Saccharomyces cerevisiae S288C: one gene and its partners. Changing the gene in region 2 together with the main gene of any one other region gives a genetic interaction. Each region holds a gene or a part of one and is shown on either strand. Other genes may lie near its edges. The genes, in order: PAB1, NAM7, LDB16 and LYS2.

The links.
Region 1: mutations in NAM7 (region 2) and PAB1 together harm fitness less than expected from each alone (positive genetic interaction), as found in Saccharomyces cerevisiae (2 studies listed by BioGRID).
Region 3: mutations in NAM7 (region 2) and LDB16 together harm fitness less than expected from each alone (positive genetic interaction), as found in Saccharomyces cerevisiae (one large-scale study listed by BioGRID).
Region 4: of NAM7 (region 2) and LYS2, a mutation in one rescues a mutant of the other (synthetic rescue), as found in Saccharomyces cerevisiae (one study listed by BioGRID).

The regions. Positions count from the first base shown.
Region 1 is NC_001137.3:508,698-512,615, reverse strand, and holds PAB1 (polyadenylate-binding protein), read right to left. Parts: upstream 2,244-3,918; coding exon 510-2,243; downstream 1-509. Other genes in the region: chromatin-remodeling ATPase CHD1, read right to left, coding at 2,818-3,918. UniProt on the Saccharomyces cerevisiae protein: Binds the poly(A) tail of mRNA. Appears to be an important mediator of the multiple roles of the poly(A) tail in mRNA biogenesis, stability and translation.
Region 2 is NC_001145.3:426,212-431,252, forward strand, and holds NAM7 (ATP-dependent RNA helicase NAM7), read right to left. Parts: upstream 3,417-5,041; coding exon 501-3,416; downstream 1-500. Other genes in the region: ISF1 (Isf1p), read right to left, coding at 3,868-4,884. UniProt on the Saccharomyces cerevisiae protein: RNA-dependent helicase required for nonsense-mediated decay (NMD) of aberrant mRNAs containing premature stop codons and modulates the expression level of normal mRNAs. Also capable of unwinding double-stranded DNA and translocating on single-stranded DNA.
Region 3 is NC_001135.5:106,508-109,370, reverse strand, and holds LDB16 (Ldb16p), read right to left. Parts: upstream 1,351-2,863; coding exon 580-1,350; downstream 1-579. Other genes in the region: PGS1 (CDP-diacylglycerol--glycerol-3-phosphate 3-phosphatidyltransferase), read right to left, coding at 1-266; VMA9 (H(+)-transporting V0 sector ATPase subunit e), read right to left, coding at 1,954-2,083, 2,180-2,260, 2,338-2,348; ubiquitin-binding ESCRT-I subunit protein STP22, read left to right, coding at 2,518-2,863.
Region 4 is NC_001134.8:469,169-475,719, forward strand, and holds LYS2 (L-aminoadipate-semialdehyde dehydrogenase), read right to left. Parts: upstream 4,759-6,551; coding exon 580-4,758; downstream 1-579. Other genes in the region: DNA repair protein RAD16, read left to right, coding at 1-452; transketolase TKL2, read right to left, coding at 5,224-6,551. UniProt on the Saccharomyces cerevisiae protein: Catalyzes the activation of alpha-aminoadipate by ATP-dependent adenylation and the reduction of activated alpha-aminoadipate by NADPH.

The DNA of each region.
Region 1 (3,918 bases), on a different chromosome or scaffold from region 2:
TGCGACCCTAAAAATCCACTTAAAACTGTCTGAGTTGCGTATTACGATGACCTTCGGTTATTAAAGGTCAAATTTCATAAAGTAAAAGCTAAGTGAGACTTTGCTCTGTGAAATTTTATCAGCTTTGTACCTCCAGTTAGTTGAATGCGGTGATGAATAGCAAGGTACCCTCACTTGATTTGTCAATTTTTTGTAAATTAGTATTTTCCTGGAACCTGTTGGTCTTTTTTCCGTGCTATTTTGTTTATTTTCCGCGAAAACTAACATTCTGCCGTTAATAATGAGACCTCAAAAAAACGCAACTAATAAACTCAGTAATGAAGTCTAATAATAGTAAAATGATACTTCTCTTGACAGTTAAAAACAAAAAACGTTTGCATTTTGTCAATAAGAGCGAGTATTTAGGTTACAAAGGATAATAACTAGTATTTAAGACAAAAAAAAAAGGGAAGGGAGAAAAAAAAGATGATAAGTTTGTTGAGTAGGGAAGTAGGTGATTACATAGAGCATTAAGCTTGCTCAGTTTGTTGTTCTTGCTCCTTTTTGAAAGACTCATAGGCAGCAGAAGCTTCTTTGTAGTGTTGTTCGAACAATTCATCACTTTCCAACAATGGGAAGACCTCTTGAGGTGGCAAATCCAAAATCATACCAGTAATTTTACCAGCTGCTTCTTCATTTGAAGTCTTAGCAGAAACCTTCTTGTATAATTGTTCACCCAAAGCTTGTCTTTGCTTTTGTTGATAAAATTGGTTGTTATCGTTGGCATTTCTTGGGAAACCACCTTGTGGGGGGACGCCGTAAACCGGACCATTTCTAAATTGAGGTGGCATGCCGTTCTTTGGCATACCGCCCATTGGGTTCATTTGTTGTGGGTTTGGACCGTTGAATGGAACACCTCTTGGTGGCATAACACCATAGAACATTGGAGGCATGAATTGACCTGGCATACCGGCAGCGGCGGCGGCAGCGGCAGCAGTAGCTTGCTGGTATCTCATTTGATTTCTGGCTTGGATTTGTTGAGCCAATTGAGAACGTCTTACGTCTTTTCTTTGAGCAATGGCAACGTATAATGGCTTACCAGCAACAATTTGTTGGTTCTTTTCTGTAATGGCCTTAGTAGCTTCCTCTGGAGTTGAGAAACAAACAAAACCAAAACCCTTAGACTTACCGTTTTCGGTTCTCATAACCTTTGCAGAAGTGATAGTACCATATGGAGCAAATTCTTCTTCCAACTTTTCGTCATCAACGCTGTCATCTAAGTTCTTAACAAACAAATTAACACCTTGGTACTTGGCCATTTTTTCCAATCTGTAAGCTTCGTATTGCTTCTTCAAGACATGCATACGTTCATTCTTCTTTTGGGCACGACCAACGTATAACTTTTCTCCATTTAGTTCAGAGTCATTCAAAGCTTCAACAGCTTTCACAGCGTCTTCATGCTTTTCGTAGTTAACAAACCCGAAACCCTTCAATTTTCCATCAGCATCCTTTTCCAAAGAGGCAGAAACAATTGGACCAAATTTGGCAAACAATTCTTGGAATTGTTCGTCAGTAGTTTCGGAGTTGATGTTTTTCACATAAAGGTTAGTGTAATGTGCCTTAGTCTCTTCCAATTGAGAGTCACGTTCCTTTCTGGACAAGTGAGGAGCAACATAAATTTCTTGACCGTTCAACAGCATACCATTCAAAGCATCAATAGCTTCCTTGGCAGCACCTTCTTCTTCGAAGTGAACAAACCCAAAACCCTTGGATTTTCCGTTTTCGTCGGTGGCAATCTTGCTGGACAAGATGTCACCAAACACAGAGAAAGTGTCATACAAAGCCTTGTTGTCAATATCAGGGTGCAAGTTCTTGATAAAGATGTTACCAGAACCCTTCTTTCTCAATGATGGGTCACGTTGAGACCACATAATACGGCATAATCTACCCTTGATTGGAGTGTAGTTCAATTGCTCAATTGCTTTTCTGCCGGCTTCATGGTCGTTAAAGTTAACATAAGCATAGCCCAAAGAGGTCTTAGTGATGGCATCACGACAGACACGAATGGAGGAGACTGAACCGATTGGAGAGAAGATATCATATAAGTGGGCTTCGGAAACAGAAGGTTCTAAGTCACCAACATATAATGATGCAGAAGAGTTTTCAACAGATTGGCTTTCTGAACCAGTGGCGGCTTGCTTTTGGTCATCTTGAATATTCAAGTTTTCCAATTGTTCAGCTGTCTTATCAGTAATATCAGCCATTTTATTTTTATTGGTTTTTTAGTTTTTTTTGGATTTTTTTTTTTGAGTTTTTATTGAATAAAAAGCCAGATATTAGGTGGTGGTACCAGGGCCTGCTCTATGCTTCAAACGGTTATTAAGTAAAAATGTTACTTCGTAGCTCACTGTCCTAAAAATACAAAATCAAAACTAAAGAATTTTACACAAGAAAGAAGAGATATAAAATACAAGATGACACTTTCTATTAAGTAAAACAGAAACCTCTTTCCTTGGAACTGGAGCGAAAGAGAACAATTGTCCCAGAACTTGCGATGGTGATGGCAAAAAGCGCAAAAAAAATTTTCTTTGTAAAAAGGAAAGAGAAAAAAAAAAAGAAATAATCTTCGATTAACAGTTTTCGTTAAACATGATTGATCTATCTGCTTTGTGGCTTCATACAGTATGACCTCTTATATGGTCATAGTAGTAACTAATTAAGCATTATTACTTTACGGTGCCCTATAGTACACACACTTACACGCAAATATATATACATAAATACGTTTATAGTTATGGGGGGAAGGAACAATGGAAAATGTGGTGAAGAAAAATTGTTTCACTTCTTTTGAGACTCTGTTATCTTGTCGTACATTGCCATCAGCTTTGTACTCTTAACGTCGGCAGGCCAAAAGTTGGCACTGTAAGACCAAAGGTGCTTGCGATATTTTTCTGGGCTTGCCTTTCTCGATGAGCCCTTTTGCGATTCGATATGATTACCAATCGTAGTTAATTCGGTCTTCAAAATTTTGGCCCATTCCTTACGATCAAGACTTTTGCCGCCTCTTCTAAGTCGCTTCAAAGAAGTACGTATTGCACTCATTGTGTGTCGACAGTCTTCTTCATCCATGCTGTCATATTCTTTTTCGTGAGCGCTGCCGCTACTGGGGTTGCTTGATTGCCTTGTACCATTATCTCTGGAAACCTTGGACTTTAATGGGGGCGTGGGGCTGTTTGGAGACAATCTCGTGTTATTTATTAAGGCGGCAGGACCTTTTGGGAGGGCTTTCATACGTTTGCTTGGCGGGCCATTTGCAGGCTCAGAACTTGTAATTTCTGGAGTCATGGATTTGCTGTGATTAGCAGGTTTTCTTTGTCTCTTTTTGGAAGGACCAGTAGGGAGTTTTTTCGAGCCTATGTCAGCACTGGGACTCTTTGTATTTAGGCCTCCTCTTAAGAAGGATAATAGATAATCAACTCTTCTGCCCAAGTGAATGGCACCAGGTACTTTTTTTGAAGAACCCGTTATTCCCTTTCCTTTCTTTGAGGGTGTTGGTGTTGTATCAGAGGAGCTTGCCGACTTTTTTGCTACCGGATTGTGAACTTCATTCAAGAATATTTTATCAGTAATGCCTAGAAATGGATCGTCTCTTATTTGTGTCCAGGAACCATATCCATATTTGAAAACACCAATCAATAGCTTCTCATCTTCCTCTTTCGTCCAATTAGATGACCAATTCTGTACAGGCTTAGGTGTGTTGTTGCCTAGGCTAAACTTTAATGGATCATCTTTGTAGTTTGAATTTATCAAGTTCTTCAAGTACTTTAAATCCTCCACTCTACTTAGTAAAGATTCGGCGTTTAAAGATTTAACACCTTTAAAGTTGAAAAGGACGGCTTTCTTTTCTCTTTTTTTTAAAGATAATCTAGTCAACGGATT
Region 2 (5,041 bases):
TACTCTTTTTTTATTTTTTTTTTTTCTTCCACTCAGCTATTAGATTATTTATTATTTTATTATCTGTGGTATCATTTTCTACAGCCATACCTTGATTTTAGTTTATTTTGTTGGCAGTTATATACATTTATCTTATAGAATACATATGCACGTATTAAACAATAAAAAGAACATAAGCAAAAATGAAACCTCGCTACAATAAAACTTTATTACGCATTGCAGTGCGCCGTAAAGAGTATTCATTAGAAGTACAATGGTAGCCCTATTTGGTTGCAACATGTTTTAGCAAAGAGATTAGTAGGCTAGGATATCAAGTCCATGCCCCTTTATCACATACTGTAATGATAGATGCACCTCCGGAAAAGTAAAAAAAGTTTTTCAGGTTACAATTGTGCAAATTGCGAGTCTATCTCGAATAATTTTGCAGCGCTCATTTCACGGTTGAGCCGTTTTGTATCACAAGCCAAGTTTAACATTTTATTTTAACAGGGTTCACCGAATTATATTCCCAAATTGCTGAAGTCTTTTGACAATTCATGCTTTTGTTCTTCTCTCTGTAACTCTCTCGCGAAGTTAGAGTTCAAATGAGAAGCCTCCTCCTGGTACAAATTTCTATCGTCAATTTCATTGCGATTTTGCTTTTGAGAAAAAGCACTTTTAAAATTCTCAAAATTCCAATATTCATTATTGATGTAAGAAGAAAGTTCTGTGTTGTCAACAAATGCATTACCAAAGTCCCCAATTTGACCACTGAATGACACCATACTCTGTGCATCAAAATCCTGGAACTTCGGAAAGTCACCCATTTCAGATTCTACGTTAAATTGAGCGTTCATTGGCCGTTCAGTCTTTCTTGGCTGAGGACGAACTAATTGAACAGTGCATAACTGTAAGTTATCCAACGTACCTTCGACTAAACAACCCTTCTCTCTGAAGTGGATTAACAGATGGTTCCATAATGTGTTTCTTGCCAAAGATCTAGGATTACCAAGAATAACTAGACCATATTTGGCACGGGTTAGACCCACGTTTAGACGACGAGGATCACGTAAGAAACCAATGGCCTGTTGTTCATTGGCACGAACACACGATAAGATTATGTAATCCTTTTCACGACCTTGGAATGCATCAACTGAGGCAACTTCCACTTTGATATACAAATCCTTATCCAATGAACCATTCATTTGCATATATTGTAAAATATAAGCTCTTTGTCCCTCATATGGTGTGATAACACCAATTTGCTCGGGCTTGACACCGTCTCTGAAAAGTTTAGTGATGATTCGTTCACAATTCATGGCTTCAATTCTGTTTAAGAAGGAAGTACCGTTAGCAGAAATCTCCTCTCTACCGTAATTGGCCCAAAACATCATTGGTATACCGCGAATTGGCCATGGGAATTTGCTGTTGGGAACGGTACGCTGTTCAATCGTTACACCATTTTGTAGGCTGCCTTCATAAAACATGTTACTTGGAAACTCACTCAAATAAGGATTCATACGGTATTGAACTTCCAAACGAATCGGTACGTGGCCTAGAGAGATTAATCTTTCAAAGAGAGATTGTTTCAAACCAGCGTCTGCCGCCTTTCGTTCCAATATGACTGGGCCCAGTTGCTGGTGATCACCAACAAGTATAACTTGTTTCGCACCTTTAACGATTGGGATTAAACATTCCGGCTCAGAAGCTTGAGTACTTTCATCAATTAACACAGTCCTAAATTTAGTGTCTAAGCGCTTATCACCAGCACCAACACATGTGCAACATACGACATCTGCCTTATTGAGAATTTCTGCTTCTGTTTTCCTTACTAATTTAACAAACCGTTTTGTATCAGAAGCAGATAATTCGCCAACTTCATCCTTTAACTTTAATAGGTTTTTTAATTCCCCTTTAGCACCACGGCCAACCAAATTATGCAATGCTAAGTTGGAGACGGAACTCTCCACATCTTCTCTACTTTTCGCGGTAAGTCTAACAACTTTTAAACCCAAGTCACGTAATTTGGCAGCCAAATGATCTACAGCAACGTTTGATGGGGCACACACCAATATTCTATCCTTGTGTATTTTGGAAAGGTGATACACAATCGTTGCTGAAGTAACTGTTTTACCAGTGCCTGGTGGGCCTTGAATTAAAGATAACGGACGTTGTAATACATGACTAACAGCGTTCGACTGGGATGAGTTTAATTGTGCAAAATTCGGAATTGAAAACTCCTTAGGTAATGGGACATCAAATGAAATGTCAACCACTTGATGGCCTAAAATTTTATAGTACAAATAACCTGAAATAGATTTTTTATCAATGGCAAATTTTTTCAATGCGTCTTGCATCCTGTCATAAGAGGTACCTTTCCAGATGAACTCAGCAGTAAAACCAGTGGTCAAATGTGTTGGAGGTGGCGTTTTACTTGGTTTTAACTCTAATGTGAATGTGTCCTGGAAGCTATTTGGTAACCGAACAATGTAACCACGACCTTCCCAATCAGGATGTTGCATGCCAGAGTACCATAGTATCATTTCATCACCGATGGCAACTTTCAACTCGTTAGATTCGAAAGTAGATAAAGTGAAAGATGCTAAATGCCTATTATTTAAAGCTAAGGACCATGAAACAGAAATATGTTCTAAAGCTTGAGATTCCTTGAGTTGTTTATCATAGTCGGCCTCCAATTTGATTAAAGGCCCGTAAGATCTTTGGTATTCGTAGGCGTCTTGATATCTCAATAGTAAAGGTGGGATTGCTTCCTGTTCCTCTGGGGCGTCAATATCATTAATTGTAGCGTCTTTATTGGATCTCCATTTTGCCTCCAACTTGGAAATTTGGCTAGGAGTGATTAAACGAGCTTTCAATTTTTCTTCTTCAGTTGGTTGCTCTGCGACCCATGATAAAAGTTGTCTGTCTTCAATTAATGGTTGCCATTGATCAGTATCCCAGTTCGCATTTTTCGTCTGGGCACAAGGTATTCTACAAAGTAAAACAACCACGGCCTCACTTTTAGCGGAAACAAATCCCAATAAAAACACGTTCTTACGTCCACAGTTATAACATTCCAAAACGGTATCCCCTAAGTCAGAATCTGGATGTAAAGAAACTACGTTATGGTGGGATAAAACTAAGTGATTAACAATGTGGGAGCTGCTTGTACCGTTTTTAGTGTTACAAAACCATTTCTTACATGAATTACATTTGATGACACACTTTGCAGAATCTATACCACAATACGCACATGAATTGTCTGAAGCTGAAGGCGAACGGAATCCAGTCTCAGTGACTTGAGCCTCTTCAAATAGCTGATTATCTACATCGTCATCCTCCACCAAGGTGGAATTTAGTTGTGTTGCGGGTTGGACATTTACATCAGATGGAGAGTTTGATATATCATAAGGAGTGTGAGAACCGGAACCGACCATTTGATAATGACAATGATTGATGTAATATAAAAAGTATATTCGGTCTTGCTGCCCTTCCTTCTTTCCTGATGAAATCTTCAACGTTTGTTGGCTGACAAGAGAAATAGAGTCTTCTGTTAGTGTGCGTTAAAACGATGCCTCTTTTCGCTTTTTTTTTCTCCTTCACAATAGCATCGTAAGTTTCTGGTAAGCTTTTCATTTGATCAGTTAGTACGAAAGCGTATAAAGGTGTCCCTCCCAAATCAAGTAAGCAAAGGGAAACTGATGATACTAAAATAATGTAAATTAAGATTAAACTAAAGTTAAAAGTAAAAGCATTCACTCGTTTAATATTATTGAGTGGATAGTAACTAACTATGTATATTTTCTTTTTGTTTTTCTTATTTCCCGTTCATGAATTCATTAAAAGTTAGGCGAATTACGGAGTTCGCCAGATGCATATGTTTCGTTTTCAATTGGAGAATGAACTCGCTAGTGACAATTTTATGAATGATTTTCTCCTGGGATTCCTTTCCTCCAGGCAATTAGAAGTGTGAGGACTAGATTCTTCGTTAGAAGAAGCCACACTAGTATTCAATGAACTATTGGAAGGAGATTTCACCAAAGAGTTGGAATACGAGTTGTTTCTAGTCTGCAAGGGAGAGGAAGAGGAACCATTGGAAAGAAGCGAAAAGGATTCTCTTCTTAGATTTGATGGCGTTCGTTCTCTGTGATAGTGGTTAAGGTTTCCACTGTGACCTGGGACGTTATTTGATGATATTTTCCCATGGGAAATCAATTTTAGTCGATTATTCTTTTCGTTGGAGAGATAAGACGACGGATATGCAGCCGAACTTGAATTCAGATTCAAATACGAGTTGGAATTCGAGGCGGGTGTTGAAACAGATGTTAATGGGGAAGTGAGATCATTTGACTGGTCGTTAGCTACTGCTAGAGAGTCTAGCTCGGATGAAACGTATTTTTCAAGGCCGTATAGATGTGTTGGTATACCGTAACAGGAAGAATGCCTGGATCTTGGCTTTATGCATTTGTGGTCAAAACAGGAATCCGCCGCGTCGCCCAAGGAAGACTGTCTTGTGGATTGTCTGGACAACTGGTGAATGAGGGTGCTACTATTTGCTCTTATTCTTCTTGGAGAAGGGCGAATTGGTTCATTGGAATTGTTCGTTGAATTTGCTGGGACGAAGCCATACAAGTGATGCGGAGCTGTCTTGATTTTTCTCAAATGGTGGCCAATAGTATGATTGCCTATGTGTCTGCTTGTATTACCGGCATTGGTACTGCTGCTGTGGTGAGAATTATTTGATTTCGAGGAATTTTGAAAACTAAAGGACGCTAATTTGGAATTTACAAAATCATTCAAATCATTTGAACCTAAAAAACTTTGTACGTCTGTTTCATCTTCATAATCACAATCTTGACAAAATGGATCTTGTACACCTCTTTCAAAAATTTCTGAAGCAATCATCAAAATACAGCGACTATTTCTATTCTTTGATGTTTTTTATTCCACTGAGGAGATAATTATTCAAACTGAAATATTTTACGCAAACCTTTCTATTTATGTGTATTACCTTTAATCTAAGTGGTTGTAGCTCATACACTTATTATAATTGGTAGAGAAA
Region 3 (2,863 bases), on a different chromosome or scaffold from region 2:
AATATTCTATTTTGTGAATTAAGTATTTTTGTCTTCAAGAGATCGTAAAACTGAGATGGAGATTCGATTATATCGATTTCTTTTGCTTGGAAATGAAAGCATGTTTGTAAATTCTGTTGTAGGGACTTAGTGATCGTGTTCAAATAATTGCCAAATGGAGAAGGGTTCGCAGCGGACATCTGCCTTTTTATATTGAAGGGTTTCTGGAGAGGTAGGGATAATAATCTGTAATGAGGACGAGTGAGTTGGAGCAAACGAGTCGTCATTAATATATGTTATCCTGAGTATGCTATTAGCAATTATGGACAAGCTGGGTGTCCTACATTATATCTACTTTCTTGTGTGGGCTGCTTTTTAGGAGTGTTCGGGCGTGAATGTGTCCATGTGCTACTGCTTTTTTATTTATGTTTTCTTCTTCACACATGGGTTACTGGCAGAAAATAAAGAAGAGAGAGGATCAATATATATATATATATGCTAAAAGATTATAATATGAAACTTATTTAAAATCAGGCAGTTAGGAACTCAACATATTTCTATCATTCACTTGTTAGTGCATGAGAAGAAGTAATTGCAATATCACCTAGAATTCCTTCGTAAAATCTTTATATTAACGATGTCCGCATCACTGGCATTTCTTCGAAGCTTAGCTCTATTAGAAAGAGACATCAAAGTTTCATTGGTGACGAATGAGTTTTGGTAAGTGTCAGACCTATCCCAAATATCAGTGGGTTCATCGTCTGTGGTGGTCGTGTTGAATGAATCATTATTATAATGCTGAATTTTTTCGTTAGTAGGCGTTTGGCAAGGGGTGATGTAGCAGTTCACATCATGCGTTATAGTCATATCATCAGCTCCAGGCTCATCATGGAATTTTTTCATGTTAGGCTTTGATATATGCGTGGGATTGGGCTTAGGCATGGGTATTGGCGCAATAGTTTGTCCTCGCATAATGTTGACAATACTAGTGGAAGCACGTTCAAGGACCGTACGTATCGGAGCAAACCACCGTTTCCATTCTAGACTTATGTATACACTGGGTACCCCGCAGATTGAGTGGAACACACCCAATATAAATCCAAAGATGAGTCCTATGATGCTGCCAAAAGCACAAAGCACAGCAAAATATTGAAACAACGTCAAAACCACATAGAAGTCTAATGTGCTTGTTTGTGCAACTAAACGGCTCAGCGACGTCCCCAGGAACAACCTCAATGGGATGTTGATAGGCAATGCCACAAGCTGAAACCCATTCCATACGAAAATTGATAAAGGCAGTTGCACGAGGGCACGGAAGAGAGGTGAAATCACTCCCATGCATAGCTGCACGCTCCAATCCACCACAAACATATTGCGGCTAGTTATATACCTGCTTTCTCCTCCTACAGTTGCTGATGAAGCCCTAAATGGTTTCTTCTTTTAGTCGTTGCTCACCCGGCAGCTCTTTAGTTTTTTTTATTTTTTTTTTTTTCTTTTGAGATTTCTCACTATAAAAAAAGAAGAAATTACTTTAAATTGTTTGTCTATTCCAACATAATCATTAGCAGCACATGTCGAGCAACAGATAAACACAGCAGCGGCACGGTGAACCACATAAGTGTATGTGCACACGCGTGTTTTGTGCAGTGTATTACCAACTTGCGCATGCAAGGATATCACACTCCTGTTTCTGCCTCATGTCTTTTAAAACGCTTCCACGGGACATGGGTTCTAATTATGGAGAAGATCAAGCTTTGAAATGGCCCGTTTACACATTTTGATACAACCGTAGACGGCGTCTCGTTTCAAAGACCGTGTGGTTGTCTATCAGTATATACTCATTGTGTTTTTCAAAAAATCTCTGGGTTGTTTAGATGCCACTATATTTCTATTCGTATTTATTTTTATGTATACTTATTTTGCTTATTTTTCTTATACTCAGGAAACGTCACTTGGCTTGATATACTCGACGCTTTATTCTGCAAATTCAGGTCTCAAATCTGAACGGCGTGGAGCCACCAAGGGATGGAGCTGGCAAAGGAACGTAATGGCCCACATCAAAAACATCATGGCCAATGTCAAAATCACTGTACTTCTCCAAACACTGTACGACAAAACAAAACAAACAAACTCTTGTTAGTAAAAAAGAAAGGGAAACTAGTAATATGGAGACACATCGTAAAAAAAATGTTGCACATACGCTTGGTTGTTCTTTGGAGCCATTATCCAGAACAGCACGGACATGGCACTAACCACTATGAATACACCAACAACAGTATAGCTAAATTGGACGCGCAGAGAGTTAGTAGAAGAAGAAGGAAGAAAAGGGAAGCGGAGAGAAGAGATTATGACACATACAAACTACTCATTACTCTTTGTTCTTTATTATTCGTTGGACCTTTGTTTCTTAAAGTATAGATAAAAGGTCAAAAAATGTAGTAGTCTTTTTTCACAGAGCGAGAATAAAAAGTTACGGCAAAATTTTGTGGGCAGTTGGTATCTTAACGGCCAAGAAAAGAGAGAGAGTGAAGAGCAACGATGTCTGCAAACGGCAAGATCTCTGTTCCCGAGGCGGTGGTCAATTGGCTGTTCAAAGTCATTCAACCCATTTATAACGACGGAAGAACAACTTTCCACGATTCTTTAGCGCTGCTGGACAATTTTCACAGTTTAAGGCCAAGAACAAGGGTATTTACGCACTCTGACGGCACTCCACAACTACTGTTGTCCATATATGGTACCATTAGTACTGGTGAGGATGGTTCATCTCCTCACAGTATTCCTGTGATCATGTGGGTACCCAGTATGTACCCGGTAAAACCTCCCTTTATAAGTATAAACTTGGAAAATTTCGACATGAACACCATCAGTAGTTCCTTGCCCA
Region 4 (6,551 bases), on a different chromosome or scaffold from region 2:
TTGTGTTTTCCCAGTTTACCAGTATGCTGGATCTGGTAGAGTGGAGATTGAAAAGAGCTGGATTTCAAACAGTGAAGCTTCAGGGTAGTATGTCACCGACGCAAAGAGATGAAACCATCAAGTATTTCATGAACAACATTCAATGCGAGGTTTTCTTGGTCAGTTTAAAGGCGGGCGGTGTTGCTTTGAATCTTTGTGAAGCTTCGCAAGTATTCATTTTAGACCCATGGTGGAACCCTAGTGTTGAATGGCAAAGTGGTGATAGAGTTCATAGAATTGGTCAGTATCGACCTGTGAAGATCACAAGGTTTTGCATTGAGGATAGTATAGAAGCAAGAATCATTGAATTACAGGAAAAAAAGGCAAATATGATTCATGCTACAATAAACCAAGATGAAGCTGCCATTAGCAGACTAACGCCAGCTGATTTACAGTTCTTATTCAATAACTAATATTTTATTCTCTTATTATATATTATTCTCGGAGTTTTTAAGTGACATCACCCGAAAAGAAGCTAAGTCTTTCTCCTAATTCATATTTAATTATTGTACATGGACATATCATACGTAATGCTCAACCTTAAGCTGCTGCGGAGCTTCCACGAGCACCAGCACCTGAAGCAACTAGACTTATTTGCGCTTGAGTTAGTTCTATACTTGGCAGTGGAAGTTTGTCATTATGAGTTGGTGGAGGTAAAAATCCAACCTTGTTTAAAAATGCAATATATATACCAACCTCTTCTGGAGTAACACCTATTCCATTAGACCAATCAACACCTGTCCATGCGGTGTCTTTCTTTAAAGATGCCACGGCGTTCCTATCGTCTAGTTCCGGAGCTTTGGTACTTTCAGGTAAGTTGTCTAAGACCATGTGTAGCAAAGGATACAACGCATTTTCTTCATTCCTGTCAATAACAGACGCCTCCAATGATTTCTTCCATTTAGAATAGCTTTCGATTTCGACATCGTAACCATAATCGTGTAAAGTATACAAGTAGTCTTTGAATAATATTCTTGGGTGACCCGTTACTTGAGCAACGGCCAATTCATTTTCTTTGGGAGGATTCAAAGACGTAGCAACAACAACACGAGCAACATGATCTACTGGAACCATATTCACGGAATTTTCGATATCTGGAATCTTACCTAATTGGACTGAACCTTTCAAAAATCTCAATAAGAAATCATCTGTGTTTGAAGAACCATTGGCAGAGGCACCTGTTACGTAACCTGGTCTGACAATACACCCACGTAGGCCCCTTTCACCTGCACGTCTAATGATGTACTCAGCAGCCCATTTGGACTGACCATATCCACCAGTGAGCCCGCTTGCAGAGTTCATTAAATCGTCTGATTCTAAAATGCCTGGCTTCCCTTCGCTAACAAGTTTATCTGACAAATTAAAGTAGTATTCAGTGTCAAGAGTAGAAGTGGAGGAAACAAAGTCAAAGAACTTTGGCTTGCCGACGGCGGCTAAGCTCATAACATTGATAGTTGAAATAACATTTGGATCCCTCAATTTGGCATATGGATAAACCCAGTGAACTAACGCACCATTATGGATAATTATATCAACTGTGTTTGCCAAATCCATCCACTTCTCATCTGAAAGACCAAATTGGCTTTTAGATAAATCGCCTAATACAACTTTAATATTTGAGGCAAATTTTTCGTTCCAAGTACCATAGGTGATACCTGCCTTTTGTAATCTTGCAAATGCAGCTTCTTCATCCTTGGCCCTGACGTGGGCAAACACTTTGAAACTGTAGTTCTTTGGAGAACGTCCTAACAAATCTGCAAGGATGTAGGAGCCCAGAAATCCTGTGACACCGGTAACAAACACATTAATTGTTGTTTTTCCTTCGGCACTATTAGGTTCAACAAAATATTCTCGAGAGGGGTACGAACTTGGTAGCGTCTCAACCAATTTCTTGGCGTCTTCCGCATAATTTGCAGTGACATTTTCGACGACCTCACCTTGAGATGATCCACCCGATGATTTAATTCTGTCAATTTCCGCGGCAAAGGCCTTTATCGTTGGATACTTGAAAATTGTGCCCAATGGTAAATCAACTTGCAGCTTTTTCTTTAAGGTAAAAATCATTTTGGTAGCCAAGATAGAATGACCACCTAAATCGAAAAACGAATCATCTGGTGATACAGATGCTGGCTTGGTAGGTAATATACTTAACCATAAGTCTCTAACCTCGCGCTCAACATTGGTAAACTGAGAGTCGTCAGTTTCAGAAACTGTATTTTCAGCTACCAAATTTAATTGCTTGGGAGTTGGGAATTGAAGTTTAGGCTTATCAACTTTACCATTTGGATTCAATGGTAGTTTATCCATAACCACAATCAAGGAAGGCATAGCATAGCTAGCCAATCTTTTCTTTAAGAAAGTCCTGATGTCCTTGGATAAAAGATGGTAACCGATTAAGCCCTTAACTATAGGGTCAGTTTCAACCTCCTTTGGAACATCACTTTGGAACTTAGACAAGTCATCTGGCTTGTCAAATCTTGGGACCATAAATGTGATCAATGTTGGCTCATTGTCGGCATTTTTGCGAACTAAAGTAATGTTTTCTCTTACCAATGGATGTTGGGAAATGTGCGTATCTATTTCTCCTAATTCGATTCTGAACCCACGAATTTTAACTTGATCATCAGCCCTACCGCAACATTCACAGTCACCGTTTGGTAGATAACGACCTAAATCACCCGTTCTGTACAATCTATCTCTTGGACCTAACCAGAATTGTCTCCAAGGTTCACCATTATCCTTATCCAAATAATTCCAGTGATCTTTTTCAACAAACCAGTTGTTCACAAATTTTTCTTTATTCAATTCTGGTAATCCTCTATAACCTTCGGCCAAACCACCTGCACGAACATAAATCTCACCTATTTCGCCAATACCACATATTTGAGTACGATCGTTCCTGTTAACAACTAGTAGCTGAACGTTCAACATACCTTTACCAGCAGGCATGACATCTTTCAATTTTTTCAAAAAGTTTGGATCGTCATTTTTTGATTTAACTTCGAAATAAGAAACTGCACGCTGTGTTTCAGTGGTACCGTACATATTAACAATACGGCAATTTTCTGCCAAGGTTTGTAACCTCAGACAATCACGTTTTGTTAAAATGTCACCCACAAAGAACGCATGATGTAACTTAGGGAATGGTGTAGTAGCTTGGGCAGTAAGTAATTGACCCATGGCAGGTGTTAAATGGGTAACTGTGCAACCATACTTACTCATCCATTCCGCTAAACGGCCCGGTGTACCAATATCATCTTGAGTAGGGACATACAATTGGGCACCTAAAAATAATGGTGTAAACATATCTCTTTGAATTGGATCATGTGCAATACCGCTCAGCATTGTGAATTTATCATTTTCTGTTAAGTTGAACCTTTTGGACATCCAATTGAAATAATAAGCCAAGGAAAAATGTCTACCAAGAACACCCTTAGGAATACCTTCGGAACCAGATGTGAAAGATAGGGTTGGGTTGGAATCTGGTCCAACTACAACACCTGTTCTGGTGTCTTTGTAGTGATCATATGGAGCCAAAACATCCTCGCCATTGTCCAATTTGCCACCTTCAATGGTACCATTTTCTTGAATAGCGATGGAATTGATTCTTGAAACAATCTCCAATTCATCATTGATGTAATCTTCTACTAGTTGATCCAATTGTCCAGCAGCTCTAATAACAATCAACCCACGTGGTTTAGCAACACCTAAGTAAATGGTTTGTCTGGCTGGGGGATATGCAGGGTCGATAACTGAAAAGGTTGCGCCGGCTTTCAAGACACCCATCACACATACCATCAAATCCACACCCCTAGAAGAATAGATCATCACTACATCACCTCTTTTGATACCTGTTTTAATCAAATAATGGGCAACTATGTTAGAAGTGCGGTTGATGTCGCGATAAGTGAAAGAACGGGACTTGTCGGAATTTAGTGTTGGAGTCTCCACAACACAGGTTCTCTCTGGGAAGGCTTCAGCATTGTCCTGGAAAATGTCGTGAATACACCCCACGAAATCGCACCAGCCCAAGTTCTTAGTTGGATCAGGTAAACTATCCTTGGATGATGCGGTGATCAGAGAGATTTTAGTTATGCAATTGGATGGATCGCTTAGCGCAGCAGTCAAATATTGAGTAAATTGGTCCGCAACAATGGTTACTCTTTCATTCGAATACAGTAAGCTGTTATAAATTAAGTTCAAAACATGCGCATTATTACTGGTATCCAAATTCAAAGCAAAGTCCACTAAATGATGCTTGAACTCGTCTAATTTGAAATCTTGGTTTTCCAAAAAGGCCAAACGGAACAACTGAGGGGTCCTTTCCAGATCTTGGCAACTTTGAATTTTTTCAGCTAGCTCGTCAAAGGAAAAATTGGCCTCAATAGAATTGAGCTTGTTCAACTCATTGTTAATTGTAGAATACAGCTCATTAAATGACCACGTTGGTTGAATATTGAATCTTAAGATTTTGTTATTCGCAATATAAAGAACAATATCATCGTCACCGGTTACTCTATATATCAATGCAGCCCATACACTCAAAGCGACAGCGTATTTGTTAGAAAAACTATCATGAGGCACATCGAGCTGAGGTAGCTGTAACGAATATGTAGCTTGTTTCGTATAAGGTTCTTGTTGTGGGCGTAAAAAGTCATGTGGTAACACTGAAAGAGTTGGATTATCCAACTTCTCTATCCAGACCTTTTCGTTAGTCATTAGTGAGTAACTCTGTGATATCTCTCTATAATTAGCAGTTTTTCACTGAAATTCCAGGAAAGGTAATAAACTCAGATTTTTTTTTATACTATTGGCTGCTTGTTACTTATATATCTTGAACTTCTCCCAGCGGGTCTTCAAATACATTTGGGCGATGTTCATGTTCATTAGGCAGGTATTTCGACATTGAGTCACACGCGAAAAACCGCCGGAATTTTTTATGTAATTGCAAGTGGAATTCCGCTGGCAAAACTATTGAAGAGTTTTCCTCGCTAAAACTGTGCGATGCCTCTAGAAGCGGTCAGCAAGAAGAAAATCGAATAATCAGTTTCAATGAATATAGACGTAACAAAGGCACAAAAAAGAAAACAAGTACATATGTCATACATATATATATATTTCAGGCAGCAAGTGACCATCAACCAGGAAGTGTGAAATAGCAAAGAACTGTTTACTTCTTCAGACTTAGAAAGCTCTTCCCATAGGAGAAAGCAACTGCTTTCCTTTGTAGTAATTGATTGTCTTTTCAGCCCTTGACGCAACACCGTCCGCTGTGAAATCGAACAATTTGTAAATTTCAGGCCCCTTGCCTGAACGACCAAATTCGTCGAGTCCGAACGATTGATGAGCATACTTACCCCAGCTTGAAGTAGCCAATACTTCAAAGGACATGATCGGAACACCGTCTGGTAGAACAGAGAATCTGTATTCTTCACTTTGCCTGTCAAAAGTATAAAAGTCTGGCAGGGAAACAACTCTTGCTTTGATTTTTTTAGTATCGTACAATTTTTTGGCTGCATCTATAGAAATGGAGACTTCTGATCCTGTTGACACCAGGATAATATCAGGATTCTCCACGTCATGGATCACATAGCCACCCTTCAAGGCTTTTTCAAAAGAGGAATGCTCCAATTGAGGAAGATTCTGTCGTGATAAAGCCACAACAGATGGTGTTCGACCAGATTTGATAGCAGAATAATACGCAGCAGAAGTTTCGTTACCATCAGCAGGTCTCCATACATGCATGTTTGGAATAGCCCTCAAGTGAGCCAGAGTTTCAATAGGTTGGTGCGTTGGACCATCCTCACCAAGCCCGATAGAGTCATGTGTTGCAACCCAAATGACTGGATTACCAGACAAGGCGGCTAACCTAACGGCTCCTGCAGCATAAGAGACGAAGTTCAAAAAGGTACCACCGTAAGGCTTGTAGTTTGCACCAAAGGCAGAGATACCGTTCATAATGGCACCCATTCCGTGTTCCCTCACACCGTATCTAATGTACCTTCCTGCATAGTTACCTAGTTGGGTAATGGGAGGTTGGAAATCTACCGCGCCTTCCCACCTTGTCAGATTCGAAGGTGTCAAATCGGCAGAACCACCGATCAATTCAGGCAAAACTTGGACCATGTTCGTCAGCACCTGCTGGGATGTCTTTCTTGTTGCCAGAGCATCGTCGTCCGGAGTAAACTTCGGTAAATGCTTTTCCCAACCTTCCGGTAACTCACCATTCAATCTTCTTTGCAATTCTTTACCCTTCTCGGGAAATTTGGTTTTGTATTCTTCAAACATCCTATCCCATTCCTCATTAAGTTTTTGACCGGGTTCCACAACAGTCTTCTTATAATAATCGTACACCTCTTGAGGTACTACAAATGATTTATTTGGGTCAAACCCCCACCTCTTCTTCAACTGTTTAACATCATCTGCCTTCAAAGCGGACCCATGAACACCAGCAGTACCCTGTTGTAGGGACCCAAATCCAATTGTAGTAGTTACCTTGATTATGGTTGGCT